4 linked regions of the Arabidopsis thaliana genome follow. The main gene of each other region encodes a partner of the protein of the gene in region 3 in a complex. Each region holds a gene or a part of one and is shown on either strand. Other genes may lie near its edges. The genes, in order: GLL22, BGLU22, JAL31 and BGLU21.

Evidence for each region.
Region 1: JAL31 (region 3) and GLL22 share a complex: the UniProt entries of both Arabidopsis thaliana proteins name them as parts of the PYK10 complex.
Region 2: JAL31 (region 3) and BGLU22 share a complex: the UniProt entries of both Arabidopsis thaliana proteins name them as parts of the PYK10 complex.
Region 4: JAL31 (region 3) and BGLU21 share a complex: the UniProt entries of both Arabidopsis thaliana proteins name them as parts of the PYK10 complex.

What each region holds. Positions count from the first base shown.
Region 1 is NC_003070.9:20,151,590-20,159,514, reverse strand, and holds GLL22 (GDSL-like Lipase/Acylhydrolase superfamily protein), read left to right. Parts: upstream 1-2,994; 5' UTR 2,995-3,149; coding exon 3,150-3,408; intron 3,409-3,732; coding exon 3,733-3,851; intron 3,852-4,082; coding exon 4,083-4,551; intron 4,552-4,638; coding exon 4,639-4,967; 3' UTR 4,968-5,361; downstream 5,362-7,925. Other genes in the region: AT1G54010 (GDSL-like Lipase/Acylhydrolase superfamily protein), read left to right, coding at 1-259, 348-661; GLIP3 (GDSL-motif lipase 3), read right to left, coding at 6,763-7,010, 7,100-7,355, 7,437-7,667.
Region 2 is NC_003070.9:24,705,530-24,714,252, reverse strand, and holds BGLU22 (Glycosyl hydrolase superfamily protein), read left to right. Parts: upstream 1-4,256; 5' UTR 4,257-4,515; coding exon 4,516-4,680; intron 4,681-4,838; coding exon 4,839-4,908; intron 4,909-4,985; coding exon 4,986-5,041; intron 5,042-5,370; coding exon 5,371-5,446; intron 5,447-5,569; coding exon 5,570-5,647; intron 5,648-5,736; coding exon 5,737-5,824; intron 5,825-5,912; coding exon 5,913-6,165; intron 6,166-6,258; coding exon 6,259-6,374; intron 6,375-6,451; coding exon 6,452-6,669; intron 6,670-6,773; coding exon 6,774-6,808; intron 6,809-6,915; coding exon 6,916-7,018; intron 7,019-7,101; coding exon 7,102-7,210; intron 7,211-7,286; coding exon 7,287-7,494; 3' UTR 7,495-7,741; downstream 7,742-8,723. Other genes in the region: AT1G66290 (F-box/RNI-like superfamily protein), read left to right, coding at 1-366, 456-596, 684-947. UniProt on the Arabidopsis thaliana protein: Beta-D-glucosidase active on scopolin >> esculin >> 4-MU-glucoside. No activity with DIMBOA-glucoside, pNP-glucoside, oNP-glucoside and sinigrin as substrates.
Region 3 is NC_003074.8:5,578,223-5,585,462, reverse strand, and holds JAL31 (jacalin-related lectin 31), read right to left. Parts: upstream 3,896-7,240; 5' UTR 3,747-3,895; exon of another isoform or gene 3,666-3,746; 5' UTR 3,634-3,665; coding exon 3,433-3,633; intron 3,332-3,432; coding exon 2,894-3,331; intron 2,756-2,893; coding exon 2,504-2,755; 3' UTR 2,276-2,503; downstream 1-2,275. Other genes in the region: AT3G16432 (uncharacterized protein), read right to left, coding at 1,335-1,520; PBP1 (PYK10-binding protein 1), read right to left, coding at 4,789-5,040, 5,162-5,605, 5,703-5,903. UniProt on the Arabidopsis thaliana protein: Polymerizer-type lectin that may facilitate the correct polymerization of BGLU23/PYK10 upon tissue damage. Activates BGLU21, BGLU22 and BGLU23.
Region 4 is NC_003070.9:24,696,664-24,705,378, reverse strand, and holds BGLU21 (Glycosyl hydrolase superfamily protein), read left to right. Parts: upstream 1-2,212; 5' UTR 2,213-2,383; coding exon 2,384-2,548; intron 2,549-2,750; coding exon 2,751-2,820; intron 2,821-2,937; coding exon 2,938-2,993; intron 2,994-3,080; coding exon 3,081-3,156; intron 3,157-3,323; coding exon 3,324-3,401; intron 3,402-3,491; coding exon 3,492-3,579; intron 3,580-3,668; coding exon 3,669-3,921; intron 3,922-4,041; coding exon 4,042-4,157; intron 4,158-4,235; coding exon 4,236-4,453; intron 4,454-4,560; coding exon 4,561-4,595; intron 4,596-4,679; coding exon 4,680-4,782; intron 4,783-4,873; coding exon 4,874-4,982; intron 4,983-5,061; coding exon 5,062-5,269; 3' UTR 5,270-5,511; downstream 5,512-8,715. Other genes in the region: AT1G66260 (RNA-binding (RRM/RBD/RNP motifs) family protein), read left to right, coding at 7,496-7,717, 8,463-8,612, 8,703-8,715. UniProt on the Arabidopsis thaliana protein: Beta-D-glucosidase active on scopolin >> esculin >> 4-MU-glucoside > DIMBOA-glucoside. No activity with pNP-glucoside, oNP-glucoside and sinigrin as substrates.

The sequences.
Region 1 (7,925 bases), on a different chromosome or scaffold from region 3:
TATTCATCAGGAGCGAGTAAATTTGTGATCCAAACCCTAGCTCCATTGGGTTGCTTACCCATCGTCAGACAAGAGTTCAACACCGGGATGGATCAATGCTATGAGAAACTCAACGATTTGGCTAAACAACACAACGAAAAAATTGGACCGATGTTGAACGAATTGGCTAGAACAGCTCCTGCATCAGCTCCTTTCCAATTCACCGTCTTTGATTTCTACAACGCGATTCTTACTAGGACGCAGAGGAACCAAAACTTCCGTGAGTTGGTTAATTATCATGGTTTAATTTCATTTTTAAATTTTTTTATAACTTCTAATACCATGTGTTTAATATTTGCCATTCTTAGGATTTTTCGTTACGAACGCATCGTGCTGCGGAGTTGGGACACATGATGCTTATGGTTGCGGTTTTCCTAACGTACATTCGAGGCTATGCGAGTACCAACGGTCTTACCTATTCTTCGACGGACGTCACAACACTGAGAAGGCGCAAGAGATGTTTGGTCATCTTCTTTTTGGAGCCGATACAAATGTTATCCAACCGATGAACATCCGTGAGCTTGTCGTTTACCCTGCCGATGAACCTATGCGTGAGTCTTGGGTGCCCCCAACGTCAGCCACCGTTCAACTCAGGGAGAGCCGCGGTTACGAGTATTACTGAGTCTCTAAAATCAATATTTAGGGATCGATCGGGGTTTCTATAAGGGTTATGAGTCAAATTATAACTGGATCAATATCGGAATCTTGAGTAGTTTTAATTTCCAATGTTTTCATGTTTCTCTAGTGAGTTTTCCTCCATAATAAAAGATTGATCTCTGCAACTCTTACCCCTTGCAAATCTTTTATTTAAAAGAAACAAAACTTTTACATAAATTTATTTCTTTTTTTTGTCAACCACATATTAAAAGGTAATTCCATAATTAAAAAAAGAAGGCACAAGAAGCGTTTTCTCATCATCTTATCTTTTGGAGCGGACCCAAATGTTATCCAACCTATGAATGTTCGTGAGCTCATTGTGTATCCTGTTAATGAGCCTATGCGTGAGTTTTGGGAGGATCCAATGGATGAGAATATCATCGTTAGTCCATGACGTCGACGTCGATGCTAGTGAATCTATCTAACTCGTTTAGTTCTTGAGCTCACTATTTTCCATCTCTATACCATGAACGAGCTCTTGGAATTTGAAATGCGCTGTTATTAATTTGTTGAGATTTAAAATAATAATGTAACCTCAACTCTGTTTTTTCCATAAGAAAAATCTCAATGAGTAACGTGATAAACCTGACAATATGAACCAAAGCGTGTCCAATGACCTGCTTTGTGCTCAGATTAGACAAGTTTCGGGCCACATGCACTCCATTAGAACAAAATGATAAATTTTGGTGGAATCAATTTAAGAAGGTAGTGGATTCAATTTGAGACCTTTTTTACCCTCTTTTTTTGTTTGCAATTATTCTTGCAAGGTAATATTCGAAATGATTGGCAACAAAGAAAATAAAAAGTAGAAATTATAAAGTTCCAGAAAAGATAAGTTTATACATCTGGCTTTGGGGCCGGCTATATTTACAGTTAATTTTCATATGAAATAAAACCAAAAATCATATATATAGATAATAGATGAACCAAACAAATGAGGCGTTCTTCATATAAAACTTCATCTTCACGTAAGCAAATGTGTTTTATTTTTATCTAGTTTCTGCACTCTTTTAGAAACAAAATTGTTCACCTTTCTGTCGTTCTAATGATTCCAATCAAATTGATAATTACTAGAACTTACAAACGAATAAGGACCAACTCTTCTGTATTTGATATAGACACTCTCTCAAAACTTAATCTTCTCTAATCTTCACTGTAAATCTTAAGGAACAACTCTCCACAAGTTTTTATAATTTATATATACATAACTAAGCTATTACCTATACTATTAAGATTGTGTCAACGCAAAATTGAGTTATTCTTTCTTATTTAAATTTGAACTATTAAAAATATGTAAATAATTAACGAAAATCTTTGTCAAAACACTATTAAGAAAATAATTTCAAAAATTAACATGATGATAAAATATAGATTGTTAATTGTTTTTTTTAATTGTTTTCAAGTAATTTAATCAATAATATGATGAGGATGATTAAGGAAATTACTATAATTTATCTTTTAAAGAATATCTTAGCATAGGTATGAGTTGTTTTTGCAAAATTTTAATAATTGATTTAAGTTATCTAAACGTTATTAAAATTATTATCCAAATTATCTATAATTATCCGAACATATTCGTCTCTTGTCTATTCTGGTAGTGATATTTTATGTATCTATATTATTCATATATCGTATCAGTATAATCTGACTTATTTAAAAATATCTATTTGATATGTATTTTGATATTAAAAATATTTTAATTCGAGTTGTGTACTCGTAAATTATCCAAAAGTTTTAGCAGAAATAAACATATCTACGTATATGTTGGTGTTGAAATTTTTTTGTTGAATTTGGCTAGTCAGCAAAATTTAGTTTTATGCAAATGGTTACTGCAGAAATTACTGAATCTGGTTTAGTGTTACCATTTACACCCTATATTTCCGTGAAATTTGTATGTTTAATTCTACTTCTTGCCTCTAAATGCACGATCTTTTCAGCACTTCGAAGAGGTTAAAGTGACTTTTACCCGATGAGAAGGGAATTGTGTGGCAGATAGAATTGCTAGGGAATCTCTTTCTTTTCTGAATTATGATCCCAAATTGTATTCTATATTGCCGGATTGGGTTAAAGCTTATGTGTATTCAGACTCTTGTGTAATTGTAAGTTGTTGTTGAACCAAAAAAAAAAAAGCACGATCTTTCTTGGTACTCGTAGTAACAATAGATATTTTGTTGAGAATTAAAAATAAAGTAGAAGAGAAACCAGTAATGCGTCAGACGTGATTAAGCGAACTATATAATATAATTGATCGATAATCGTTTGCTAGTGCGTTAAATAGGTGTATAGTAAAATGAACCTCGCGCTACACGTTATTATTTGTATAGTAAAATGAACTATTATTTTCATTGCCAAATTGTAGTACTTGCAATATAAATATAACGAATCGGTCTACGAGCTAAGGCACAAAAGCAATCTTCTTCTCTTTTCACAGTTCTGTTTCTCCCTCTCTCTAAATGATGGCAAACAACTGTAATTTAGTCAGTGTTCTATGTGTAATTTTGGTATTGACCCTCTTTCACAACCCCATCACTGTCGCCGGACAGAATAGTCCGGTGGTCGCCTTGTTCACCTTTGGTGACTCCAACTTCGACGCCGGAAACAAACAGACTCTCACCAAAACCTTAGTCGCTCAAGGTTTCTGGCCGTACGGAAAATCTCGAGATGATCCCAACGGCAAATTCTCCGACGGCCTCATCACTCCGGACTTCCTCGGTACGACTTCTTTTCTAATCGAATCCTACTCTAATCTTTAAAACATTAAGTATGTTAAAAATAGTATGATTACGTAAAAATAATCATAAACAGTAGTATTTATAAATGCATTTTAAGTATGCTACTAGTGAATTACTTAAAAAATAGTAAATAGTATGATTAAAAAAAAGATTATAAATGCATTGGTTCAGCGGCTATTCACTTTTCGGGACACATTCTATGAAATTTTATTTATTATTTTCGTCAACAGATTCGGAGATGTAGTACAAGGAATGATTTGATATTATATGAAAAACTAAAATATTTTTAAAATACAAAATGCAGCTAAATTCATGAAGATTCCGCTCGCGATCGCGCCGGCGCTTCAACCGAACGTCAATGTCTCACGTGGAGCTAGTTTCGCCGTCGAAGGTGCTACTCTACTCGGAGCTCCGGTGGAATCTGTAAGTAAACTTAATTTCTTATTATATAAGAGTCATGTATATATCTATAGTCAACACCTAATTCAAAGAAAATCAATTATATCTGTCTATTATTGACCCGGTCATACTAAGCGGGATTCTTTTTGTTTTACTTCACAGAAAAGCATGTGACTTAATATCAATAAGCTTTACTTTAATTGCACTTATAATATTGGTTTAATTTTTGTCTTTTTCTCTTTTTTGGTTCTTTAGATGACTCTGAATCAACAAGTGAAAAAATTCAATCAAATGAAAGCAGCAAATTGGAACGATGATTTCGTGGCAAAGTCAGTATTTATGATATACATTGGTGCAAACGATTACTTAAATTTCACCAAGAACAACCCTACCGCTGATGCATCTGCTCAACAAGCTTTTGTTACTTCCGTGACCAACAAGTTAAAGAACGATATTAGCGCGTTGTATTCATCAGGAGCGAGTAAATTCGTGATCCAAACCTTAGCTCCATTGGGTTGCTTACCCATCGTCAGACAAGAATACAACACCGGGATGGATCAATGCTATGAGAAACTCAACGATTTGGCTAAACAACACAACGAAAAAATTGGACCGATGTTGAACGAAATGGCTAGAAACTCTCCTGCATCAGCTCCTTTCCAATTCACCGTCTTTGATTTCTACAATGCCGTTCTTACTAGGACGCAGAGGAACCAAAACTTCCGTGAGTTGGTTAATTATCATGGTTTAATTTCATTTGTTTTAGTTTTATAACTTCTAATACCAAGTCATTAATATTTGTCATTCTTAGGGTTTTTCGTCACGAACGCATCGTGCTGCGGAGTTGGATCTCACGATGCTTATGGTTGCGGTTTACCTAACGTGCATTCGAAGCTATGTGAGTACCAACGGTCTTTCCTATTCTTCGACGGACGTCACAACTCCGAGAAGGCGCAAGAAATGTTTGCCCATCTTCTTTTTGGAGCCGATACAAATGTTGTCCAACCGATGAACGTCCGTGAGCTTACTGTTTACCCAGTCGATGAACCCATGCGTGAATTTTGGGTGCCTCCAACGCCAGCTACTGTCCACGCCAGCGACTCTAGCTCGTCCACTAGCCGCGGTTACGAGTATTACTGAGTCTTTTTAAAACTCAATCTTTAGGGTCAATCAGGTTTTCTACAATGGTCATGAGTTAATTTATAACCGAATCAAAATCGGAATCTTGATGTTTTTGATTTGCAATGTTTTCCTGTTTCTCTAGTGAGTTTTTCTCTATAATAAAAGATTGATCTTATCAACTCTTTCCACGTCCTGGAATTTATCGAGAGTTCATTAGTCTATCGATTTACTCTAATCTATTCGATATCTTATATTCCTTCTGTTCATTTTTGTTTGATTTTTTAGAAAAAACATAAATATTAAGAAAATATATTAAATGTTGCTTTTAAATGTATTGTTTTTTGTGATTTACAATTTTCAATAACTCTAAACCAATGATATTTACTAATTTGTATTGAAGTTTACAATTTATCAATTATAACTAATAACTATTGTATTAAAAATCTAAAAAATCAATATTTTTGAAATAATTTTTTTTCTAAACAATTAAACAAAAAGAAACAGAGTAAGTATAAATTATGTAAAAATATATGACTGATTCGTTTTATGACACCGAATTAAAATAATAAGCTAATTCCTTTTGGTTTCTTTTGACCCAACAATAAGCTAATTATAATTATAAAACGAATATGATAAAGTATCTTTTACCAGCTGGGAAAATATAATACTCCCAAACTGAAAATAAATATCATTACCAGTTGGGATTATTTTATTACAGTAAATACATATAGTGGGCATTAGTGATCTGATTTTGTGGATCATAAGCGACAGGAAAATAAAAATATAATAAGACCAAACAAATCTCATCCGCTAAATCTGGTCATAAGTTTAAGTATTTTTTTTCTATTTAAATAAGAAAAAAATGACGCTAAATCTGGACATAAGTTAAAACATACAAATTGAAATAGTATAATTTAAAAATCTCAATAATTGAAGCAACACACCGATCTTGACTTTATCTCTCCTTTATCTACGTTCAATGTTGATAATTAATTCCATAAAATAGTAGTAAAACGATTTGGATCCATCACATGATAAATATAGTAGATCCGTCTAATATGGTAACATTTTATTTGTCGTATATAATTGAAAAACTCAACTGTTTATATTACTATTCAACACGTTGGTGACTGCCGAAGTTTCTGGTTCACACTACAGTCTCACACATCAACACATATGAGGTCATGTACTTTCCAAATTGCAGTTTATACAATATGTAGAGAAAAAAATATGAGAAGACATGAGGAACAACTTTCAACAGCGACTAACCTCATCAAGGATATCGATCGAACAGTCCGATCTAAAGACTCACGGTAAAGGCAAGTTTGATGATGCTTTGTGTAACTGGTTTGCCACAAGACGTCTCTAATATTTCAAAATACAAACTGTTTTCCTAATTAAAATTTAAGCTCAACATTTAAATTTAAACAAATTATTGCATAATGTAAACAAAGTTGTTTTTGGTGAATCAAATTTACATTCGTACAAAAAAATTAACAATCGTCGTAGGGTTATTAATGGTTTTTCTCGCGCTGGCGGCTAATCTTCCCGTGCAAGAAAGGTCAACGCAAATAAGCCCTAATAATAAGGTTTCTGCTACGACATGCTTGTTTCTTGTGTCTATCTAATTGTCTTTGTACCTTAGTATTTCATCAAGTTTATTTACTTTCACCATAGAATTGTTCTCCTTTCCACACAAAAAAACTAATCGATTTTATTATTATCCTAACTCAAAAAATTACATGACTAACATTATTAGACAATATATAGTGACCTCGTCAGTTATTTTCATATACATACATATAGGCGATTTTTATGTAAGCCTAAGTTCAAATAAAGCTTTGAGATTATAAGGTCTAGTGACATTAGGCGGCCCGTTCCAAATCAGCTCTGCGATTTGTCGATGAGCCTTTTCCGTCAAATGAGAGGAATCATAGAACAAATAATCGGTAACGTTTTCGCATAGGCCGTAACCTTGCGACGGTCCTATTCTGTTTCCACACGTATTGATTCCTCTCAGTGGTCCGCTTCCACAACATGCCTTCTTCCCTTCCTTGAACCCTAAAAATTAACAAACATAACACAAAATGTTCTTAAAGGTAACCTATAGATCGATCTCTTACATATATGTAAATACCAAGTTTAGTAACCATATTTTGAAGGACTGTTGATTCTTTCGGAAAGAGAAGTGTGATAGTCATGAAGGGCGTATCTAAAACCCGATAATTGGCGTTGTAGCCGCCTTAAAACATCGGGAAACTTCTTGTTGTGCATGTCGATAAGCTCAGCGACAGGTTTGAAACAAGATCCTATCTTTGTTCGGTCTCTTATCAATGAATTTGGTGAACATTCGTACGGTCCCACGTTCAAAAATCCAAACTTTCTTCCTCCCATTTTATACACTTCCTAAGATCACATAACATATATATATAACTCAGTTTTAGAAAAAAGGTAAATATTTGAAATTATTTTCCGATTTTTGTTTACCTCGATAACGAATGTAATGTTACCGATAACAAAATCGACGAATTTCTCTTTGGAGTTGGATTTGAAAGTTGAGGAGTTTGCAGAGAAAGGATAAAAATAGTCGTTGGCCCCGATATGAAACAGATAAACAGCTCTTGAGAAAACCCTTTTGGTTTCTGCATCTCCTAGTTCAGATCTCAAGCTCTTTTCAACATCTTTGAAGTTGTTTAACTGTGTTCCCAAATTTATCACCTTACATGATAAAAAAGAAGAAGTGGAACATATCAATTAATCAAATAACACTATATATCATCGGTTAAAGTAATAAAAATTACACAATTGTTTTAATTTCTACGCCCTTTATTTCAATTTAAATATCTTTCTAAATTTTTTTCTCTTTCAAATAAATACCATTAACTAATATTTCAATATCTATTAAAGTCAAAATGAAAATTCATTAACATCAATTATGAAATAAACCAAAATTCCAAGAGTTAATAGTTTTTGTAA
Region 2 (8,723 bases), on a different chromosome or scaffold from region 3:
CCAGTCCTCGAAAGCTTTACGTTATGCAGAAGGTACCTTGACAATGTAAGAGTTTTACGTGTCATCTCTCAATCTCTATTAAGCTTCAACTATTACGGCTCTAGTAGTAAGAGCTTTCGTGATGATCTAGTGGTTATATTGGATGCTCCAAAGCTTGAGAAACTCAAGCTCTCACATCAATTAACTGCAAGTTTCATAATAGAGAATCTGAGTTCCCTTGTAGAGGCGGATATCGATATTGAGTTTAACTTTTGTCGGGGGAAAAAGTTTGATCCGGATGATCTGCCAAAGAGAGAAATGATTCGTAATTTTCTTGTCGGACTCTCTCGTGTCAAAACTATGACAATCGCTGCATGTACTCTTGAGGTATCGTTTGTTGAATTCGTATTTTATTGTTTTACTTTATCATGTATAACTTTATTCTGATACTTTTCTTGTATTTATTTTTGTTGTAGGTCATTTATGATTACTCAAGATGTGAACCACTGCCGTTGTTTCCTAACTTATCTTTCTTCAGTGTTGAATTCTATCAGAAAAGATGGGAAATATTGCCATTCTTTTTTAAGAGCTGCTCGAATTTAAAATCCCTGGTCTTGGTAAGGATTTGTTTACTTAAAACTTATCAACTTTCTTTGGTAACATAATCACTCAAACTTGTTTCGTTCACTTGGGTGTAATATCAGGAATCTGATTACTTTCCAAGGAAGAGAACTAGTATTATATCTGAACCTCGGTGTCTCCTATCATCTCTCGAGTATGTTAAGATAGAATTTGCATTGGACAAGGGGAAGATGGAATTAGTGAGATACTTACTTGAGAACTCACCAATCCTCAAGAAACTCACTTTATCATTGGATCATTCTTCTAGAAAGAAATCTTGTGTCATCCTCAGAGAACTCATTACAATTCCAAGATGCTCGACCTCTTGCCGAGTCATCGTTCTCTGATCCTCGTTGAAGAACATACAAGGTTTGCCTTTCTGTACTTTTATTAATGTGAACTCTGTGGTTTCCTTCTCTATTATGGTGACTTTGTTGTGTAGTAGATCTGTAAGAAGATCATATGTTTGTCTTAAATGTTTCAATTGAACCAAAAATGTAATAAGGTTCGTGTAAGAACCAAGGATTCAAATTTTCAGAAACTCTTTATTTATGTGAACTATTTGCTTTCTTCTTCATTGTGGTGACTTTGAATGTCTTGTAGATCTTAAGAGATCTTATGTTTGGCCTAAATGTGTAATGCTGTTACTTCTTTTGACTCAAAGACATGTTTTTGCTCATTAGTAATTCAGACTTCGAGTAGAAAAATAGATAATGGATTACAAAAACGAAAAATAAAATAAAGATGCTTCAAATTTAACCTAAAATAGTATTAGATCTTTGTAAGACACTAAGACCCAAGGATTAAACATTCTAGGAACTAAATTATAATTAAACTCTTGGAAAATTAAGATCTATTTGTTTAGGAGCTTTTAAGATATACATGTCTAGGCTTTAATGAGCTTTACGACCGAAGAAAATTAGAGAGCTTGTGATTTTGATCATGATCTGAGTGAGTCTCAAAAACTAAAAGGAGGACAATAAGGAAGATTCGGATTGAATTCTTTAAACTAGTTAACTAGGTTAATTGTTTTATGGGCCTGTTATGTTAAGTTAATAATTTTTGGGGCCTTTTATCTTCAACATATAAAGGGCTCTTCTATTGTTTTTTTCCAACTCCAACAACTAAAATACAAACAAATTTTGGACCTTTTAATTTGTGGACCGTAGCAGATGCCCATGTTTCCATGGGTGAGAGACGGACCTGAGGTGGTCGCAACTCGCAACCGACGTTCAGAGGGAGAAGCGGAGGTGGTGGTGGAAGCAAAGAGAGTTAGATGATGGCTGTGGTGAGGACTATGTAAAGTGTAAACATGTGTCACTTATCTTTGCTTATTTTACAGTTGGAGGAAATGCCGAAATTGTATGTACCAAGAAAATATACATGTATCTGTTTTTATACTTGTTTTAATGTCTACAGTGTTCGATAAAGATACCCTGATCAACTTCATAATGTAACAAAAATGAAGTCATGTATCACCGTAGTGGAGTTAGGTTTGATGAATTTTAAAAATAAAACTAATTCAACTAGCTTAAAATTAATTATCGCCAAATAAGTACCAAACGTAGCCCGGGCTAAACCTTAGTATTTTAAATATGCTAAAAATCTATTTACAGATAGATGGTGCATCGCCATCAAGTAGCAAAATAAGCGTCAGCGCAATACTATCAACGAAAAAAGATGGTATGTTAAAAAAAGGTTTCTAGCTACTACATATTCGATTTAAATATTTATCAAAGTAATAATAATCTACAATGTGATTTACTGATCATAATGCGTGGAAGGTGGAACCTATTATATTGTTAATACTTAACAATATTATCAAAGTACAATAATGTGATTGCTGATGCATCGTGACGTAAAACAAGAACACCTTCAAAGTCAAACACCAAGAGAGATTGTCGTTACATGTGTTTTTAATGATATATAAGGAAGCTTCATTATTTTGGAGTTATACAACGACTTTCATTCAGTCACATTTAATATATATTTGTTGCTTAATCGTGACACATGTCGAATTTATTTTATTTTTTAGTATTTAATAGTTTTATATTTAATTGGAAGTTTCCATTTCCTTGACTACGCCATAAAGATACACAAAGACTCTTAACTGATCCAGATCATTGAAGTAACCAAGGGTAAGTAATTGAACTGGCCATAGTTAGTAAAAGATTGTACCAACCGTTTCTTCATTCTTAGGAGAGCAAAAAAAACTAGTCGCAGTGTATTCTTCTTCTATGACGACTAGACGAGAGTAGTGAGTCGCAATGTGCTTTGGTAGGGCATCAGCTAAGAGGAATACACATATTTTTAAGTTGCTTTCTTCCAAGGTACAATATTTGACATATATATGGACTTGTAAACTTACCAGATTTTCTGATCATGTAAATAGTAGCTTTCAATGTCCTCGATCACAAAGGCCATGAAGTGTAGCATTTTGAGAAATGGTCATTCCAAATCTAAATGGACTTTCTCATTGAGTTGTTTGAAAGAAAAATAATCAATTACACCACCAATTGATCGACCAAGAAAAATGTTTGGTGAATAATAGTTACCCCAATTTGTGTTTTTTTGGGCAAAAAAGTTGCCCCACATTTATATTTTAATTTTGATGCCTAAATTTCGTTGATCTTAATTAGGCTTTACCGCACTGTCCTGACAGCAGTCAGCATGCGACTAGAATGTGACCAATTGTTTGTCCGAAACCGAAGATTACTCATTCCAAACTCCCAGTCTAATTGGAGGTTGTGTCTTGATATCTAATAACTTGTTTGATAACCATTATAAGGTCTTTTGCTTAGGTTTTACGGTCCATAAGTTACCAATGTATCCTATGATCAGGACGACTACTACAGGTTCAAGATTTTGAAGATATAGGTCATACACTAGATTTTCTTATTTATAATTGTATAGTTTAGCTTAGTCACCCGGGATCTCTCATCGAATGAATCATCCTATTTAAATAATAGTCAAGCGGAAACCAATAATGAAAGATTATATTAAGTTATGAAAACGTCAATAATAATCATGATTAAGATAAGATCGAAAACACCATTTGGATGATTAGATCTATCTATATAGTAAAATAAAATAAACATTATCAACGAGGCCTGGTTGTGGCATATTAAAAACAAGACATTAATGAGAGATCAGTATCGCTATAAAAAACGACACTAACATATAAATGAACCATCCTAAAATTGTTTTCTTAATCAAGACAAAAGAAAAAAAAGAAAACTAAAAACCAAAATGTCATTGCAAAAGTTTCTCATGGGGACACGTTGCTCCTAACCACCATCGTATACAATAGTTAAATAATTGTATACTATCTTAGTGGGATAAGTAAATGAAAGTTTATTCAATAAATATTAATATCTTAAACGTCAATAATACCTAAAGTAAGATCCAAAAACTCGATCTGGATCATTACTATAGAAAATTAAAGAAAATGATTAACGAGGCCTTGTTGGCATATCTTTTTCTTTTCTTGTAAAACAGATCTGGTTGCATATTTGAAAGTAGACATTAAATGAGAGATCCGTTGATTATGGAAGATTAAATGTTAATATTGTTGCTCGTTAAACACGAGAAATATTATTAAGACGAAGGTGCAACAATAGATGAAGACTTCAGTTATAGGACATACACGATTTTTTTTTTTTTTTGATAGGATACACTATTTATTTAAAGGCACGTTTTTATTATATGTTCCACGCGTAATATAATATGTTCCAAACTTTGAAAAATAAGTAAGAACACACCTATATATAAAATAAATTTATTAAACAAATATAGTTTAGTGACTTATTTGTCATTACCAAACAATCAAAATCACTATATAATTAAGAACTCTGTTTAGATGTAAACAAATCATCACAAACTTGTTCTCTTCCAAAAGACCAAAAATTAGAAACCATGGCATTGCAAAAGTTCCCTCTCCTGGGGCTTCTTTTTCTCATAACCATTGTCGTCTCTTCGACAATAGCCGTCGATGATCCTGTGTGCCCAACGACGTCCAAACTAAGCCGAGCAAGTTTCCCTAATGGGTTTGTGTTTGGCACAGCTACTGCTGCGTTTCAGGTAAACTGTGAGACATCAAAATGAATTATTTACTACACTATACTTCAAAAATATGTATTAGTGTTGTGTCTCCATCAAAATTCAAGCCTAAGTCCAAATGCTGAATTCAAACATATGTTATTACCTCAACTCATCAGCTATTTTCGTTATGTCATTAGGTTGAAGGTGCAATTAATGAAACTTGTCGTGGACCTGCTCTATGGGATATCTTCTGTAAGAGAAATCCAGGTGAGTGTATAATCTATATTTTCTATACAATATCTTTAGATATCTAAATTCATTCACTTTTTATTTTTAAATTACAGAGAGATGTAGTGGCCACAACGCCGATGTGGCCGTTGATTTCTTCCATCGTTATAAGGTAAATATATATATGTATTTTGAATCTAAATTTAAAGTATATTCAAAAGAAAAAAAACATCTTTACAATAAAGTGCCTCTTGTTTGAAAAGAATTTTGAGAAAATTAACTCAGAGGATGCTTACAAAACTTTGAAATGGTTAGACCCTTGAGAGGAGCCACACTGTATATATAATATATTAATATAAAGTTGAGGTATATATTAATATAAATTTAAGGTATATATTAATATAATTTTAAGACAAATATAACTTATATTTTATACTTTTAGTTTGCTGATATTATACGAGATATTATTGAAAATTTGTCTCGTCTTAAAAATGTTTGTAGGAAGATATTCAACTAATGAAGAATCTAAACACAGACGCATTCAGACTCTCAATCGCATGGTCAAGAATATTTCCTCGTGAGTATATGTCTGCAGATCTCTAGTTTGATTTAGTAATCGAATTTGGTGAATTGATATATAAATCAATAACTAATGAATTTTACATTTATTGACTAATCAAACAAACTAACGGGTTTTTAGATGGGAGAAAGGAGAAGGGAGTGAGTCAAGCTGGTGTGAAATTCTACCACGACCTGATCGATGAGCTCCTTAAAAATGGTTATATACATATAAACTAATTAATTAAAAAAGACAAGAAATATAGTATCATTATTTAACATTTCTATCTATTTTTACATTGTAACTAGGTATAATTCCGTTTGTGACTGTTTTCCATTGGGACACTCCACAAGATTTAGAAGACGAATATGGCGGTTTCTTAAGCGAGAACATTGTGTATGTTTTTGTAAATTGAAACAAAATACATCTAATTAAATTTTATATGGAAATTATTAGTTTAATATCATTTTTTGCAAAAATACAGGAAAGATTTCCGAGAATATGCAGATTATGTTTTCACTGAATACGGTGGAAAAGTGAAAAACTGGATCACTTTCAACGAGCCATGGGTCTTCGCTCATGCAGGTTACGACGTAGGCAAGAAGGCGCCAGGACGTTGTTCTCGCTACCTTAAAGGTTGTGAAGACCGAGATGGACGATCAGGTTATGAGGCTTATCTAGTTAGTCACAACCTCCTCAACGCTCATGCAGAAGCTGTTGAAGTTTTCCGCCAAAAGGTAATTTACATTAGATATATATATCAAAATTAACTATCAGGTTTTGGATATGAATATAATTTGTTTTGTGTTGTGTTAATGGACATTTTGTAGGTTAAAGGTGGGAAAATTGGAATCGCACATAGTCCGGCTTGGTTCGAACCACATGATCTTAAAGATTCAAATGACGTTCCAACTGTTAGCCGTGTACTTGACTTTATGTTGGGATGGTAGGTATATACTTTGATAAAATGGGGTCTTGTATACAATTTCATATAATTGATGGAGTTTTGATTATTATTTGTAGGCATCTAGACCCAACTACTTTTGGAGATTATCCACAAATCATGAAAGACCTTCTTGGTCACAGATTGCCCAAATTCACTTCTTCACAAAAAGCAAAATTGAAAGATTCGACCGATTTCGTAGGGCTTAACTACTATACTTCAACATTTTCAAACCATAATGAAAAGCCAGATCCGTCTACACCAAGTTGGAAGCAAGATTCTCTTGTTGCTTGGGAACGTAAGTTTTTTTTTCCTTACATGAAACCAAACCAAGAAACTAAGAGAAAATGTTTTCTTTATAATACTAATTGATATGTATACATTTTCACTTTTAAATTTCAGCTAAGAATGTAGATCACAGCGCCATTGGTAGCCAGGTATGCGTTAAACTAAACTAGTCCTAGTTTGAGATTGTTTTAACAACTAAACAATTAAAATATTTCTCTCAACGACATAACATCTATCACCATTGTTTTATTTTCAGCCTCTTACCGCTGCATTGCCCGTCTACGCTAAAGGTTTTAGAAGTCTTTTAAAGTACATCAAAGATAAATACGCAAACCCGGAAATTATGATCATGGAAAATGGTAACTCGAGATTTATGGTTACTGTGTGTTGATTTAGTTTGGAGTTAAAATATATATTCATCTTAATGTTGTTGTTTTTCTAGGATATGGAGATAAACTTAAGGACAAAGATTCGGTTGAGGTTGGTACTGCTGATTATAACAGGAAATACTATCTTCAGAGGCATCTTCTAGCTATGAACGAAGCTATTTGGTAACCGTTTACTATTTATTTATTTAGAGAACAATTCTATGGAATGATCTAATCAAGAAAATTTGTGTATGTGCAGCATTGACAAAGTGAGAGTTACGGGATACTTTGTATGGTCATTATTAGATAACTTTGAATGGCAAGATGGTTATAATAACAGATTCGGACTCTATTACGTCGATTTCAAAAATAACCTCACACGTTATGAGAAAGAATCAGCCAAGTACTACAAAGATTTCCTCGGTCAAGGTGTTCGTCCATCCGCGCTCAAGAAGGATGAGCTTTAAGTTATATTTTGAGGATTTGGTTTTCTGTTCAATGCTTCTTTCCTATGTTTTAGTTTGTGATTGATCATGATTCATGAAGTCTTGGTTAATAATAATAAAAGTGTTTTGTATTCCTTCAGTTTCTAGCTTATTTGACATGATCAAGAATGCTTTAGTATAAATATATTATCCTTATATGAAGGTATCTTTACCTTCAAAACATGAAGAAATATTGTATTATATATATTAAAAAAAGTCTTAAATTTACAAAAGGACTGATGTTTTTAAATATGAAGTAAAAATATCATAGTTTTTAAAATATTGAAAATACGAATTTACCTCTATTTAAAGAAATAGATTATGCAATAACTAGACGTCGTCTTAACAACTAAATCGTGCAAATATTTTAATGACTAATAACTTCAACAACTTAAACCGCTTGGCGATGAAATAAAACAATGGAAATAGTTTAACATTTTTAGAAAATCACCATGATTTGAGATCGGATAAGATGTCACACCGTAGCTACAAGTTTGAGATTAATCTTTCCAAACAATTTAGATAAAATCAAGTTACATAATTTGATATCGGATAAGATAAGACAATGTACATAAAAATGAACACAACATAATATCAGCAAGATGGTTCTAATATAACAGATTGGGATTCTACTACGTCAATTTTAAAAATAATCTCAATGTTATGAGAAACAATCAGCCAGGTATTACAAAGATTTCTTTGGTCAAGGTTTTAAGGCCCTGTTCGTTTCTACATTTGATAGATCCATCCAACTGATCCATTCAACATGTCTATTTGGATGATTTATTTAACTCTTGTTCGTTTCATTTTTAGTCGGTTCATTTGACTGGACCATCCGAATGAGATGTTCGTTTGCTTATCTCTATCTCCATCCAAATGATTTGTAATAATACAAATACCTAAACTACCCATGCTTTCATCTAATTATATTTTTTATTATTACTTGTAAACATGTTAATTTTAATTCTTAATCTAAAATATATTTAAAAGTAAATAAATTTCAAATAATAGTTTTTTACATTTATAAATTTATTTTACGGTTTTGGCGGGAAAACGTGGTTTTACAGTTTTGATGGGAAAACTCGATTTTACGGTTTTGGCGAAAAACAAAATTTTACGGTTTTGGCGGAAAAACGTGATTTTACGTTTTTGACTAGAAAACGTGATTTTACGGTTATGGCGGGAAAAACTCGATTTTACGGTTTTGACGG
Region 3 (7,240 bases):
GGGAAATTGTGTTTCAGGATATTACATTGTTTCATTTCAATATTCTACAAGATTTGATAATTGTTAATGTTGTCGCAATTTAATATATCAAACCAAGAAAAGAAAAGAAAACAAAAACATTTTTCAGTAGTTGTTGACAGCAAAAAAATAGTCTAGCGTACATCATTGCGTGCCTGAATGTGGCAAGAAAGATTTGTGCCTAAGTATCTCGTTGTTTCGCGACTCGTGAATCGCGATCTTTAGTCAGATTGGGGTTATAAAAATGGATCAGCATACTAATTCAAAATCTTCTATAAAACGTTAAAGTTGACGTGTACGTCGACCCTGAAACTCGTTGACGTGGTGTGTTGTCTACGCGTGTTATTCAAGATCCAGATTGCGGAAATTTAGTTTTCTTATAAAAAATCCGCTAGGGGTAATAAAATACTTGAAAAACGATTTTCTTCACAAAACATGAATTCGCTCGCAAACAACTATTTCAAGTAGTAATGTTATATCATTCTACTCTACTGTTGTATTAAACTTCTCTCAATAGACTACTAATAAAAAAAAGGATATGAAGAAAAAATTGCTAAGAAAAAGAAGAAGAGGATAAGAATATAACAAGAAAATTAATTTCATGGTGATTTCAAGGTTACCGATAATTATAATTCTAATAACTAATCTTTTTTCAAGTTTGGTTGCTTGGTTGAAACGAGAGTAAAGGAGAGTAAGGTTTCGCAGCTTGTTGGTAAGCTTTTCAAGGATTGGTCGCTTCTCACTAATTATGAGCACAATAGACGGGGTCGTATTTGGGTTCTATGGCGTAAGAATGTGCGACTTAGTCCTATTTATAAGAGTGGTCAATTGCTGACTTGTTCGGTGAAGCTAGAAGATCGACAGGATGAATTTTTCTGTTCCTTTGTCTATGCTTCAAACTACGTGGAGGAGCGAAAAGTTTTATGGTCAGAACTGAAGGATCATTATGATTCTCCCATCATCATCAGATTTAATCCCTTTGGCATAATAGTCTTGCCAGCTTCAAGACCAAAGGGATTAGATGTTCGCATAATAGTCTTGAACCTAAGCATATGATAATGACCGCAGAGTCACTTCCAAAGATTTAATCGCATGTGCCATCGACAGCGGTGATGTATTCACTTGGATAATCAATGTCGAACTACAATGAAATCAAGCAAAACAACTTAATCTTGTCCGATGGAAACCGGTCTGACTTTAAGAAGGTATAAAATAACTAGTATAGTCACAATAGTCAAAGACCACAATGCCTAGGGAAGTTGTGGGATTAAACGGGTCACTTATTAAAAAAAAAGTCCGTATCTCGACCAACCAAGTTATAAAATAAATGGGTTCAAAATGCGTTTGGCCCGTTTAGGCCGCAGCGATATATAAGTACCTCTTTCCGTGTTCATCTCCAGCAACAACTTGAGAAGCATTGGCATACTCAAACTAACCGTGGACACACAATCGACAATCGTGGCCTTGACATATATACACCTTAACACTGTTGTAAGCACCATGCCACCATCGTCCCATGCAGTTCTTTTATCACTACCAAGTTCACCTTTTGAGCCATCATTGTTTGATTTTTACCAATCTTTGGAGTTTTTTTTGGGGTAAGAAGTGAAGTGAAAAAAAATATCTAAAGTTTAAACCGTTCACCAATAAGACTCTAATCTATAAAACAACCACTAGACTACGAAACATTTTTTCTTAGGAGTTACTAAAACTGCAAAAAACAAATTGTTAATTGCAACTATTAACCAAATTTTACTATAATATAGTATCATAAGAGATATAAAGGATGAGGATAAGTGGTGATCCATCCGAGTGGGCTGTACGTTAATTTATTGACCTCTTGGAATTAGCAAAGATATTTTACCAAAAAAGAATCTAATTAATATTCAAGAATAGATCCACATATAGGCCTCATTATTTAATTAATTAACACAATTCTAAATAATAGTAATCCATAATTCGTGATCCACGTTGAGTATTAAATTATTTTACCCAAGAAGGCTACATACTTTTATTATTTTCTTTATTTTTGGCCAACTCATATTATTTGCAACTAATAATATTTTTTAGCCGAAAACTTCTATATTTTGGCCACAATCTAGATAAAAAAAATTACGCAGGTATTTTTGTTTTGGAGAAAAGAAAACACCTATATTTTGGATCCAAAAAAATTTACTTTTGTTTTAAATTGTACAATTCGTACATTGAGATTTTTGTTTAATTATAGTAAGAGAATTAGTATCAGACGCAAATGGGAAATATATATCGGAACATTTGGGGATATAAAAATTAGAAGAGATGAAACAAACTTCCTTAATTAAAATGGAACACAACCACATCAAAGAAAAACCGGCAACACAAGATACAACACTTAAAAGTTAAAACACTTATCAGAGGTCACCAGAGGCATGAAGAGACCTCAAATGACCAATTTATAAGATAAAGATAAAGATCTCCATGGAATCAAAGATAAAGATCTTCATGGTCAGTTGGAAACGGGACGGACATGAACTCCAATTTTGTGGAGCAAAGCATCGGCTCTTCCATGGAAGCCAACGATTTTGTGGCCTTCCTCTTTGAGTTCGAAGGCAGTGCCAGCTTCAAGTCCAAAGGGAGGGGACGTTTGCTTATTAGTCTTGAACCTAAGCATAGTTATGACTGAGCCATCACTCCCAAAGATTTTATCGTAGGTGCCTTCGACTGCGATGATGTATTCACTTGGATAGTCAAGTACGAACTGCAGTTATTGGAACCTTGAATACGTCATCATGGAAATCGAAAGAAAATTTGAATTCTCTGATCAAAGCATATATATAGCTATATGTATATAACATTCATCAACAACAAAAAAAAAAAGAGAAAGAAAACATTATACCTCTTCGAATCCGAGTAGAGTACTCTTTCCATGTTCTTCTCCTGTGACCTCCTCAGGGCTTTTGTCGTATACAAACTTAACAGCCGATATACCATCTTGGGCTTGTCCTACGTACACCTTCTTAACCCCAACGTAAGCACCATCATCCCATGCTGTTCCATCATCACTACCAAGTGCCGGTAGCGGCTTGGCAGGAGTCAATGGGATAGTCAACGGAGCAAAGTAAGCTCCAAGAGAATTAAGATTGTCTCCGGCAGACCCATGAAAGCCAATGATCTTCTTGTCTTGAACTTGGAGAAATGATCTAGTACCACGATCGTATCCAATGAAACGAGAAGTCTTTTTGTTGGATATGAACCTAAGCCCTTGAATAAGACCATCAGGTTTATACCAAATTTCAATAGAAACTAGATGCTCCTCAGGATGGTTAATCACAAACTGTAGAGATCAAGTTCAATATGTCAATACTTCAACGTAAAACAATAGATTTTCTATAAAAATTAGAAGAAGTCAAATAAGCAAGGAAAATGTATAGGAACCGGATCAGTTGGAATGGTACTGCCTTTGATACCACGAAGAGGAGTTTGTTCGGTTTGTCCGTTCTTGACGTAATCGAACTGAATGTATTGAATTCCCATTCCGCCTACTGCAACCTGAATCTTGGTCACGGCGTCATGATCGGATCCATCGTCCCATTGGTTGCCTCCTTTCCCTCCTTTTGCTTCAACCTTTTGAGCCATATTTTGCTTGCTGATCAATCTTACTATAGTTACTATAATTGGAAAAAAAAACAAATTGTGAATTTTCAATTATTAACCAATTTTGTACTAATAGAGAGGAAAAGAGAGATGACCTTCAAAAGTGAGTAGATTGTGATCGATTTAAGTGAATCATAGGTGTTTATATTGACTTCTTGCATATAACCATATATCCGCATATAGGATCATTGATCGTACTAGCAGAAATAATAATCTATTATTTCGTGATCCACGAGGCATATTTAAAACATTACCGGAAGAAATACATGTTCAAATATTCATATACTCCTTTTTTACTTCCACAGCTTCTCAACTAATCGTCTTTATATTGGTGTTGGCCAATGAAACGATGGCAGCAAGCTAATTAGTTCTTTTAAAATTCACAGAGTCGTCAATTTTATTATATACGTTATTACTTGTAAAGGGTGCAAGTTGCAATTTATATAAGTCAGAATTCTACAATTAGTGACCCCCTTTTTAGGACTCTAATTGGTTGACGATTTGATAAGTCTTGTAAGAACATGTTTCCACAGCATTGTACATTATTTCAAACAGTAAAAGTATAATTGAAATCACCTAAGAGAAATTAGAACCAAGAGTATATATATAATACAATTTTCTGTAACGCTCAATCTAGAAACAAGAACCGGTTCGTATTTTTTGGCCAACTCATATACTTTTAACTAATAACTTTTTATGTTTGGAGAAGGCCAAAAACTTCAATATGGTCACACATTCTAGATAAAAACTTTGTGCAGGATTTTTTTACTGAGAAAATACGAACAACTATATATTTGATCCAAAAAAGTTAACATTTGCATTTTAAATTGTACAATTCATACGTTGAGATTTTAGTTTGAATTATAGCAAGTAAAATTAGTATCAGAACCAAATAATGGCAAAAGTAAGTATTATAGAACATATAGGGAAACTAAAGATCAGATTGGAACAAACTTCCTTTATTAAAATAGAGCACAAGAAGAACAAAGAAAAAACAACATCGCAAGAGACAACGCGTAAAACACTTATCAAAGATCACCATTCACCAGAGGCATGAAGAGACCTCATATGAGAAATTTAGAAGATAGATTTGATAACTTATTAGATGCATGGAATCAAGGATAAAGAGCTCCATCATCAGTTGGATAAAGGACGAACATGGACTCCAATTTTGTGGAGCAGAACATCGGCTCTTCCATGGAAACCAACGATCTTGTGGCCTTCCTCTTTGAGTTCGAAGACTGTGCCAGCTTCAAGTCCAAAGGGAGGAGACGTTTGCTTATTAGTCTTGAACCTGAGCATAGTTATGACTGAGCCATCACTCCCAAAGATTTTATCATAAGTGCCATCGACTGCGGTGATGTATTCACTTGGATAGTCAAGTACGAACTGCAGTTATTGGAAACCAAATAAAACAATTGAATACATTATGATGGAAACCGGAAGAGAATTTGAATTCTCTGATGTATAATTTTTACATTCAACAAAAAGAGCAAAGAAAGTATTATACCTCTTCGAATCCGAGTAGAGTACTCTTTCCATGTTCTTCTCCTGTGACCTCCTCAGGGCTTTTGTCGTACACAAACTTAACAGCTGAGATTCCATCTTGGGCTTGTCCAACGTACACCTTCTTAACCCCAACGTAAGCACCATCATCCCATACAGTTCCGTCATCACTACCAAATGCCGTTAGCTGCTTGGCAGGAGTCAACGGAGTTGTAGTAGTCAACGGAGCAAAGTAAGCCCCAAGAGAATTAAGATTGCCCCCGGCAGACCCATGAAAGCCAATGATCTTCTTGTCTTTAACTTGTAGAGTGAAGTGAGTACCCTCATCGGATCCAATGACATCAGAAGTCTTCTTGTTGGAGATGAACTTAATTCCTTGAATGATACCTTCAGGGCTATACCAACCTTCTACAGAAACTAGATGTTCGTCTGGATGGTTAATCACAAACTGTAGAAATAGATCAAGATGAAAATGTCAAAACTTCAAAATATAACAGTATACATATAGAAAGAAGAAGATTAATGGGCAAGGAAAATATAGGAACCGGATCAGCTGGGAGAACACGGCCTTTGGTACCACGAAGAGGAGCTTGTTCGGGTTGTCCGTTCTTGACATAATCAAACTGAACATATTGAATTCCGTCTATGCCTGCTGCGAGCTGAATCTTGGTCACGGCGTCATGTGTCGATCCATCGTCCCATAGGTTGGCTCCTTTCCCTCCTTGTGCTTCCACCTTTTGGGCCATCTTCTGCTTCTTGATAGTACTTACGAATTTCTGTAGTTGCAAAAATAAATTGTTAATATCTACTATTAACCAATTTTTACATAATAGAGAAGAATAGAGATAAGACCTTTTAAAGAGAGTAGATTGTTATCGGTGCTATGATCAATTAAAGTGAATTGTATGTTTATTTATATTGACTTCTTGATATTGATCGTACTAGATGAAATAATAAGGGAAATAATAATTTATTCTTTCGTGATCCACGAGGCATATTTATATAAAAAGCATTACTGGGAAAAACGCATGTTCATATACATTTTTTTTTTTAGATAATGAAAATATTCATATACTTCTACTTGCACAACTTCTCAACTAATCGTCTTTATATTGGCGTTGGCCCATTAAACGATGGCAGCAAGCTAATTCATTGTTTTAAAATTTAAAGAATCGTTTATCAATTAGATTATGTACGATTAATTATTTGTAAAGGGCTAAAGTTGCAAGTTGCAACATATATATACGTTCTCCTTATTAAGAGTCTAATTGGTTAAGATTTGGTAATTATTGTATGAACATGTTTTAAAGCCTTAATCATAATTTAAAAACAGTAACGTTTAATTCAAATCACCGAAGATTAATTAGAAGTTTAGAACCAAAGAGGAGACTAGATATATCATACAATATTCCGTAAAAAAAATCTAGATACAAGAACCGGATCATATGGATCTAGCCATAAAGAATACTCCAAAATATCACAACTAGTTTTAATAACTCTTAGGGAAATTTACGAATTCCTCTGAATTCAAAACTGCTTTTTTTTTTTTTATAACTGATTTATGAAATATTATAAAATTTTGCGAAGAATATTTCTAAAACAAATTCTGTATTCGTTGGTAAAAAGATTTATAATTGTATCATTTACACTGGTACTAAATATTAATCTAATTGAGAGACGCTTAATATGATTCATAAATTATCAAAAAAGCTTTCTAGCTCGACTGCAAATGTACCATGGGATATTCCAAGAAGTCGCACGATCGAATGAAAGCTGGTACGTATAAATTATTAAAAGTTGATCTAGATCATCAATCAAGAAAACATCCTATTTAACAAAAACAAAGGTTAACATGTAGTATGTATTTATTTATATAATTATCTGTTGCGAATGTGAAACAATCGATAGAAATTACACTAGCTAAGTAATTAATAATAACTATTTGATCATCTATAACTATATTATTCAATACTTATATGATCAAAATATGTAAGCTAGTGGTTTTTGGTATTTCTTGTTGATGTGTTACCTTTCTAGTTGAAACCTGCATATTTACTTATTATTAAAAAATAAATTCAGTAAT
Region 4 (8,715 bases), on a different chromosome or scaffold from region 3:
GGTTTTGGCGGAAAAACAAAATTTTACGGTTTTAACGGAAAAAAAAATAATTTTGCGGTTTTAGTGGAAAATTTAATTTTTTATTTTTTAAAAATAGTTGTAAAATAAGATTTAAGTCTATTTGTTTTTTTATCGAAAAAATACATATAAATAATCAATTGAAATAATTAAGGTATTTTTGTTATTTGTTATTTTTGACTGGATCATCTCCATCCAAATGATCCAATTAAATTCAGCCAAATAAGTTTCAAAATTTAGCTTAAATTTTCAAAGTCATCCAGATGATTTATTTGGATAGATCATCTGAATGAACCGTTTTTGGCACCAAACGAACATCAAAACTCATCTCTATCTAGATGATCCATCTGACTGATGAAACGAACACGGCCTAAGTCCATCCGCGATAAAGAGGGATGAGCTTTAAGTTATATTTTGAGGATTTTTATTTCTGTTCAATAAAAAAAACAACTCAACGTTTATGCATGATGAATATTATACGTTCAAGATTTAGAAAAATAAAAAACAACTCAACGTTTATATATCGTGCAATGAAATCATCCAATTTAAAATATTTAATAATAGTCCTTCTGTATAACAACCACTAGTGTTCTTGTGGAATTTTTATTTTGTTTCAAAAAAAAACATGTTATTTTAAATTTCCAATTTTACTTTTCAAATAAACTTCCACGTTTATTCTTTAATTTATTCATATTTTTGTTTTAAATTTAACACTCACTCTGATTCATTATATAGGATATTTCAGAGATTTATTTAGGATGTTTTACTAATATCAATGCAATTTTTAAATATATTTTATTTGATTATTTGACTATTGGTTTGTATTTTGTATTTTTAATATCAAGAGAACAAATTTTATAATTAAAAATAAATTTCTTAAAGTGTGTGTTTTAATCTAAAACATCATATAATTTGAAATAGAGGAAATATCATCTAATAAAGTAATGGTATATTTGTATAGTTAATGATTTGTCTTTTTATTCGCGCAAAATGTGTCAATTATAAAATATAAAGAGGATATAATTTAGTTTAGAGTTTTAGACACGAGGACTATATATTGGAAAACAAAAAAGTAATGTAAACCATATAGATCATGGAATGAGTCATCCTATTAAACAGTTGTATTATATATTTATATTTTAGTCACTAACACATTAATAACTTAACGTCCATAACAAAATAAGATCCAAAACTCGATCTAGATCTATACGAGGCACTAAATGATCCATTGACTTAGGGCCGGCCGATTGGTTCGAGGACTCCTCATGCTGTAAACTTTTTTTTTGGACATACATGATATATTTTTAAGTCACGTTTTTATATTATATGTTCCACGCCCAATATAATATGTTCCAAACTAGGAAAAATAAGTAAGAATTAGTCAATGATCGAGATAATGCAATGAATCATCCTATTTATTAAATAGATTTACTAAACTATATATAATACAATGATCGAGATCGTGCCATGAAGCATCCTATATACTATAAAAATAGTCTTACTAAATACATACTCATATAGTTTAGTCATTCATTAGTCCAAACATTAAATGAGAGATCCTTTACTTGCTACCTGAATTTTTTCAGAATAAGGTATAACTTTTTTTCGAATTAGAAACTGATTTATGAAAGATTAAGAGTAATGTTCGTTAAACAAGTTAAAAAATATGTTTTTACAATTAAGTTTTGAAAAATAATAAAGTCTCCAATTATTTGAGTATCAAAAATAGGCTTGTTATTATTTAGGGTTTTCGTTGGTTTAAATGCAACGGGGTGTGGTTGTCATTGTGGAAGTTAATGGAAGTAATTGGTTGAGGTTTTAAACGTTATCGGACATTTTAAATGACTGGTTTACAGTTAAAAATATGTGTATTTACGGCAATTTTATGATTGGCTTAGCAGTAGATGCGACAGTGGTTTAAACCAAAAATTACCAAATAAATAATATACAATTATTAAATTATATAAAACACCAATATTATATATTTATATATATATGAACATAGTTAATTATCGAAACCATAGACAAAGTACATAAGAGTTATTCCGAAAAAGGTTTATTATGAAACACAAATAATCATATTGGGAGATTATGATATCCAAAATGGACTAATCAAATAATTAAATCCAAAATGGATGAAGAACTTATATTAGTTCCACGCACAATATAATATGTTCCAAACTAAGTAAGAACACAACGGTCGAGGTCATGCAATGAATCATCCTATATATAAAATAGTTTTACTAAACAATTATATTTTAGTCACTCGTTAACAAACAATCAAAATCGCTATATAAAGAACTCCGATTGGATGTAAACAAATCATCATAAACTTGTTCTCTTCCAGAAGAAACTAAAAACAAAAATGGCATTGCAAAAGTTTCCTCTCATGGGGCTGCTTTTGCTCCTAACCATCCTCGTCTCTGTGACAACAGCGGTTGATGATCCTGTTTGCCCGGCGACTTCCAAGCTAAGCCGAGCAAGTTTCCCTAATGGGTTTTTGTTTGGCACGGCTACTGCTGCGTTTCAGGTACAACAGATTTACTAAATCATAGTTCAAAAAACAAAAAGTAGTGTCGTTATTGTGTTTCTATCTGAATTCAAATCCATATTTTTAAAATATGGTTTTTTTTTATGTAAAAGTTGCTCAAAATATGTTATACCTATCATTTGAAATCATTTGTGCATGTGATATTCCTCAACTCATCAACTATTTTTTGTTATGTCATTAGGTCGAAGGTGCAATTAATGAAACTTGTCGTGGACCGGCTCTATGGGATATCTACTGTAGAAGAAATCCAGGTGAGTGTACTCGTATAATCTACATTCTCAATACAGTATGTTTAAATATTAAATTAAATTTAACTAATTAATATCAATACATAGCCATTAATTTTCTTAATTACTTTCAAATTACAGAGAGATGTAGTGGCGACCACGCCGATGTGGCCGTTGATTTCTTCCATCGTTATAAGGTATATATTAATATAAATTTAAGACAAACATAACTTATATTCTCGAGATGTTATTGAAATTTTGCCTTGTCTTAAAAATGTTTGTAGGAAGATATTCAGCTAATGAAGAATCTAAACACAGATGCATTCAGACTCTCAATCGCATGGTCAAGAATATTTCCTCGTGAGTATATGTCTGCAGATCTCTAGTTTGATTTTGTTTTAATCGAATTTGGTGAAATTAGATTTATGTGATTGTTATATAATACTAATAACCAATGAATTTAGATGATGTATATGTGAATGTTGAAGTATCAATAACTAATGAAACAAACTGTAATGCTTTATTAGATGGGAGAAAGGAGAAGGGAGTGAGTCAAGCTGGTGTGCAATTCTACCACGAGCTCATCGATGAACTCCTTAAAAATGGTTATATACATATAAAATACCTAGTTCACAAAAATACAAGTAATATAGTATCCTTATTTAACATTTCTTTCTATTTTACGTCATAAATAGGTATAGTTCCGTTTGTGACTGTTTTCCATTGGGACACTCCACAAGATTTGGAAGACGAATATGGCGGTTTCTTAAGCCAAAACATTGTGTATGTTTTTGTAAATTAAACAAAATACATTTAGTTAAGTTTATATGGAAATTATTAATTTGGTATCTTTTTTTTTTGCAAAAATACAGGAAAGATTTTCGAGAATATGCAGATTATGTTTTCACTGAATACGGTGGAAAAGTGAAAAACTGGATCACTTTCAACGAGCCATGGGTCTTTGCTCACGCAGGTTACGACTTAGGAAAGAAAGCACCAGGACGTTGTTCTCGCTACGTTCCAGGTTGCGAAGACCGAGAGGGACAATCTGGTAAAGAGGCTTATCTAGTCAGTCACAATCTCCTCAACGCTCACGCAGAAGCTGTTGAAGTTTTCCGCCAAAAGGTAGTTTACATTAGATATAAATCATAATTAATTATCAGGTCACATTAGATATAAATCACAATTAATTATCAGGTTTCGAATCTTAAAATAGGTTGTTTTGTGTTGTGTTTATGGACATAGGTTAAAGGTGGGAAAATCGGAATCGCACATAGTCCGGCTTGGTTCGAACCACATGATCTTAAAGATTCAAATGACGCTCCAACTGTTAGCCGTGTACTTGACTTTATGTTGGGATGGTAAGTATATATTATGTTAGAAAATGGTTTCTCGTATATAATTTCATAAAAATTAATGTAGTTATTAATTTTGTGTAGGCATCTGGAGCCAACTACTTCGGGAGATTATCCACAAATCATGAAAGACCTTCTTGGTTACAGATTGCCTCAATTTACTGCTGCACAAAAAGCAAAATTGAAAGATTCGACCGATTTCGTAGGGCTTAACTACTATACTTCGACATTTTCAAATTATAATGAGAAGCCAGATCCGTCTAAACCAAGTTGGAAGCAAGATTCTCTTGTTTCCTGGGAACGTAAGTTTTTTTTTGTTTTCCGTACATGAAACCAAACCAAGAAACTAAAGATAAAAGGTTTTATAATACTAATTGATATGCATACATTTTCACTTTTTATTTTTCAGCTAAGAATGTAGATCACAGCGCCATTGGTAGCATGGTAAGCGTTTGATTAAACTAGTCCTAGTTTGTGATTGTTAATTTTTGTCTACGACATAACATTTTCACCATTGCTTTATTTCAGCCTCTTACTGCTGCATTGCCCGTCTACGCTAAAGGATTTAGAAAGCTTTTAAAGTACATCAAGGACAAATACGCAAACCCGGAGATTATGATAATGGAAAATGGTAACTCGAGATTTATTGTTATATTTGTGTGTTGATTTAATCTTAACTCTTAAGAGTAATATACTGATCATTATAATGTTGTTTTTTCTAGGATATGGAGATAAACTTGGGACCACAGATTCGGTTGACGTTGGTACTGCTGATCATAACAGGAAATATTATCTTCAGAGGCATCTTCTGGCTATGAACGAGGCTATTTGGTAAGCCTTTTATTATTTGATAGATTGACTAACGATTCTATTGAATGGTCTAATTAAGAACATAATTGTGTTTGTGCAGCATCGATAAGGTGAGAGTTACGGGATACTTTGTATGGTCATTGTTGGATAACTTCGAATGGCAAGATGGTTACAAAAACAGATTCGGACTCTATTACGTCGATTTCAAAAATAACCTCACACGTTATGAGAAAGAATCAGCCAAGTATTACAAAGATTTCCTCGCTCAAGGTGTTCGTCCATCCGCACTCAAGAGGGATGAGCTTTAAGTTATATTTTGAGGATTTCGTTTTCTATTCGATGTTTTTCCTATGTTTTAGTTTGTGATTGACCACGCACGATTCATGAGTCGTGGTTAATAATAATAAAAGTGTTTCGTTTTCCTTCAATCTCTAGCTTATTCGACAAGATCAAGAAGGCTTTAGTTTTAATGACGTTATCCTTTTTGAGAATCAATATGTGAAGTTAAATATGTTTTACCTTCCAAACTTGAAGAAAAATTGAATCATACAACCTTAACATTAAAAAATTTATGAGTTACAAAATGATGTAAGAAAATATCATTAGTTTTAGAAAATTAAAAATACGAATTTACCTCTATACATAGAAATAGATTAGGAAATAATTTGACGTCGTCTTAACAACTAAGTACAAACATTTCAAAAACTAACAACTTAAACGTTGGCGATGAAATAAACAATGGCAATTCATTTTCCCAAACAGTTCTAATATTTTATTTTTGAAAGTCACTAGTTTAGATTAAAAAACAGGACGACCAGCAAGAGAAGATATCTCTTTTTCACTCATTTGGCCAAGCGTATTTTCTATATACCTTAAGGAAATAAAATCCATGCATGATGCAACCAAATAAATCCACCATGCAATACCAACATCATTCATTACTTTGGAAATTCATATTTCATTCTTAGCAAGCAAAAAAAAACAAAAAAAAACAATCAAACGTATGTGTTAATAATGAAATCATCACATTCTATCTTACTAGTAGTCACTTATCAAAAACGATTTATGTAAATAGTGATTTTCAAGATTTTTTTTTTAAAAGCAAAAAATTTAAAGGCCAACTCACTTTCAGACTGTTTCTTTTGTAAAATTGAGAATTCTTGGAGCATCTCCTATCAGTACTGTAGCTGATTCATTACTTATTTTCGTGCTTTTGATATGTGAGTGAGTGAACTAGAGTCGTAGATTGATAGCTTTGAAGCTGAGTTGGAAGGATTGTCTGTCAAAAAAGGAAAGACAAGACCTACCAAATTGGTAAGATTTGAAATATATGCATATACTGTAATTTATGCTCTGTAGTGAGTCATGTCTTTTGGTTTGTTTTTCTCTTTAACACTCATCTTTAGACATCTATTACAAGGCACAAGGATCACATAATAAAATTGGAACTGATCTTGAGCCACAAAGGATCATATACACTTTCTTTTAAAGAACCCTACTTGGAGAACCTACCATGGAAAGATAACAAAATTAATAAATCTTTCCAAAAAAAAATAAAACAAAAAAATAGTGAGAGTCTATAGAAGGTTCTCACCACTGGACATAATCTTAAACTGCATATGCAAATATAGGTTTGATCAAGATTTGTTTTTCAGGAGTACCAAAAAGGTTCCGTAGGAATGATAGATTGATAGATTCTTACATATACACAATAAAAAAAAAAAAAAAAAATTGTAGTATCAACATATCAATTAGAAAAACAACTGGGGCATTTTTGATATCTTCGAAAAGTATAATCCTTATCTTATAAACTATTTTTAACTAAACGCGGAAACGCATAGCTGGCAATCTTCCCTTACGGTTTTTTGGTAATTGTCTACTTTTGATAAGAGACGCAAAACGCCCCCCCTAAATCGAGAAAAGTTACATAATTACCCTGCTGACCTAGTCCTATATAAAAAAAGATACCTTCTCCTCTCCATTAACCAGTAATCTCAATCACAAACTATTTCCCCCCCTTCGTTCATCAAATCCTCAAGAGAAAAAAAAAATCCCCAAAAGCTTCCTCAAAACCCTAACACAGATCTCTCGATCTTCTCCGATCTGTCTTTTCTCCTAATCTGGTAACGTTTCGATTCTCGATTCATCTGGTTTCGCGTATAATGTTTCCGATTGATTTCACTTTTTCGATTACGAATCTAGATCTAGGGCTTTGATCTATGTTTCTGAGATGCGATTACGAGTTTCCGTCTAAAATTTTGCAGTGATTCGTGTTTTCTCGATATCGCTTATGAGAATTGTTTTCTAGGTTTTAGGAATCTATTGGTTCATATGTTCCGATAATCAGATCTTTGAATTCGAGCAGTGGATATGATTCACCGTCCTTGATTTGTGTATTTGAGCTTGAATTTTATAATTATTGCTTGATCTCCTTCGATTTTGATGGCGTGTGTTGTCATTGTGTTGGTGGTAGCTAATTGTAATTTTCTAAACTCCAATTTGTTCAGGTTTAGTTTGATTTTATTGGATTGAAGATGTCAGACGCTTTGAATATGACTCTTGATGAAATTGTGAAGAAGAGTAAGAGTGAAAGGTCTGCAGCTGCAAGGTCTGGAGGTAAAGGAGTTTCCCGTAAGAGTGGACGTGGACGTGGTGGACCTAATGGTGTTGTAGGAGGTGGAAGAGGAGGTGGACCTGTTCGTAGAGGTCCTCTTGCTGTTAATACTCGGCCATCATCATCCTTCTCCATAAACAAGGCAAGCTCGAAATCTTGATTGGAACTCTGTGCCACCAAATACCGAAGCATGCTAAAACTTAAGATGGATGATCTTTTAATGCTCTTTTGTCCTTGGAGAAGAATCATACATGCATATACCGTTACTTCTGATGATGATTCAGATTACAAGAATCTTCTAACATCTTCTTAGAAAAGCTTCTTTCCTGCAATTAGTGGTTTTTATGGTTAAAATCTGGGAACTTCAAGAGGCATGAATAGATGTGCAGAAGTTTTCGGTTGATATTGTCACTCGCTATAGGTTTATTGAGGAGCTCCTTTAAGCTAAGTAGTCCACATAGGGTTATCTACAGGGGGATAAAGCCTGAAAATGTGTGTGGTTTTAGGGGGAATTTCAGAAATTTTAACAGTAAATAGGATTTATGATGGGTTATCAAAGTGGGGGTATTTGCACTATGCATGAAGTTCACGATGGTACATCTGGAATTTCTTCGGAGTGTGACGGCAGTCTCAGTTTTCGTTTTTGGCTTCAGAGACTGACTGATAACACCAGTATGATTCATATGAAGTTAGTCAAATTTACTTGTTTCCCTACGTTTCATTTGGTATCTCCTTGGATGGTTCTTGACTACTTCTTCCTGGAGCTCTTTGCTTTAGTACTTTCAGCCAAATGGGTGTTTTCTCCTCTTTCAAGAAATTTGTTGATTAATGTGGCTTCAAGATTCTACAGACCCTTTTAGCTGACTTGATATGTTCTACTGGATCAGCTTGCCCGCAGGAAGAGGAGCTTGCCATGGCAGAATCAGAATGATTTGTATGAAGAAACCCTTAGAGCTGTTGGGGTATCAGGAGTGGAAGTCGGAACCACAGTTTATATTACCAACCTTGATCAGGGAGTGACAAATGAAGATATAAGGGTATAGCCTGACATCTATGTTCCAGTGCTTCTGTTGTTTTGGTTCTGTGGAGTTTTCTGAAATTGGTTTGTACTATCATATGGAATCTAGGAACTCTATGCTG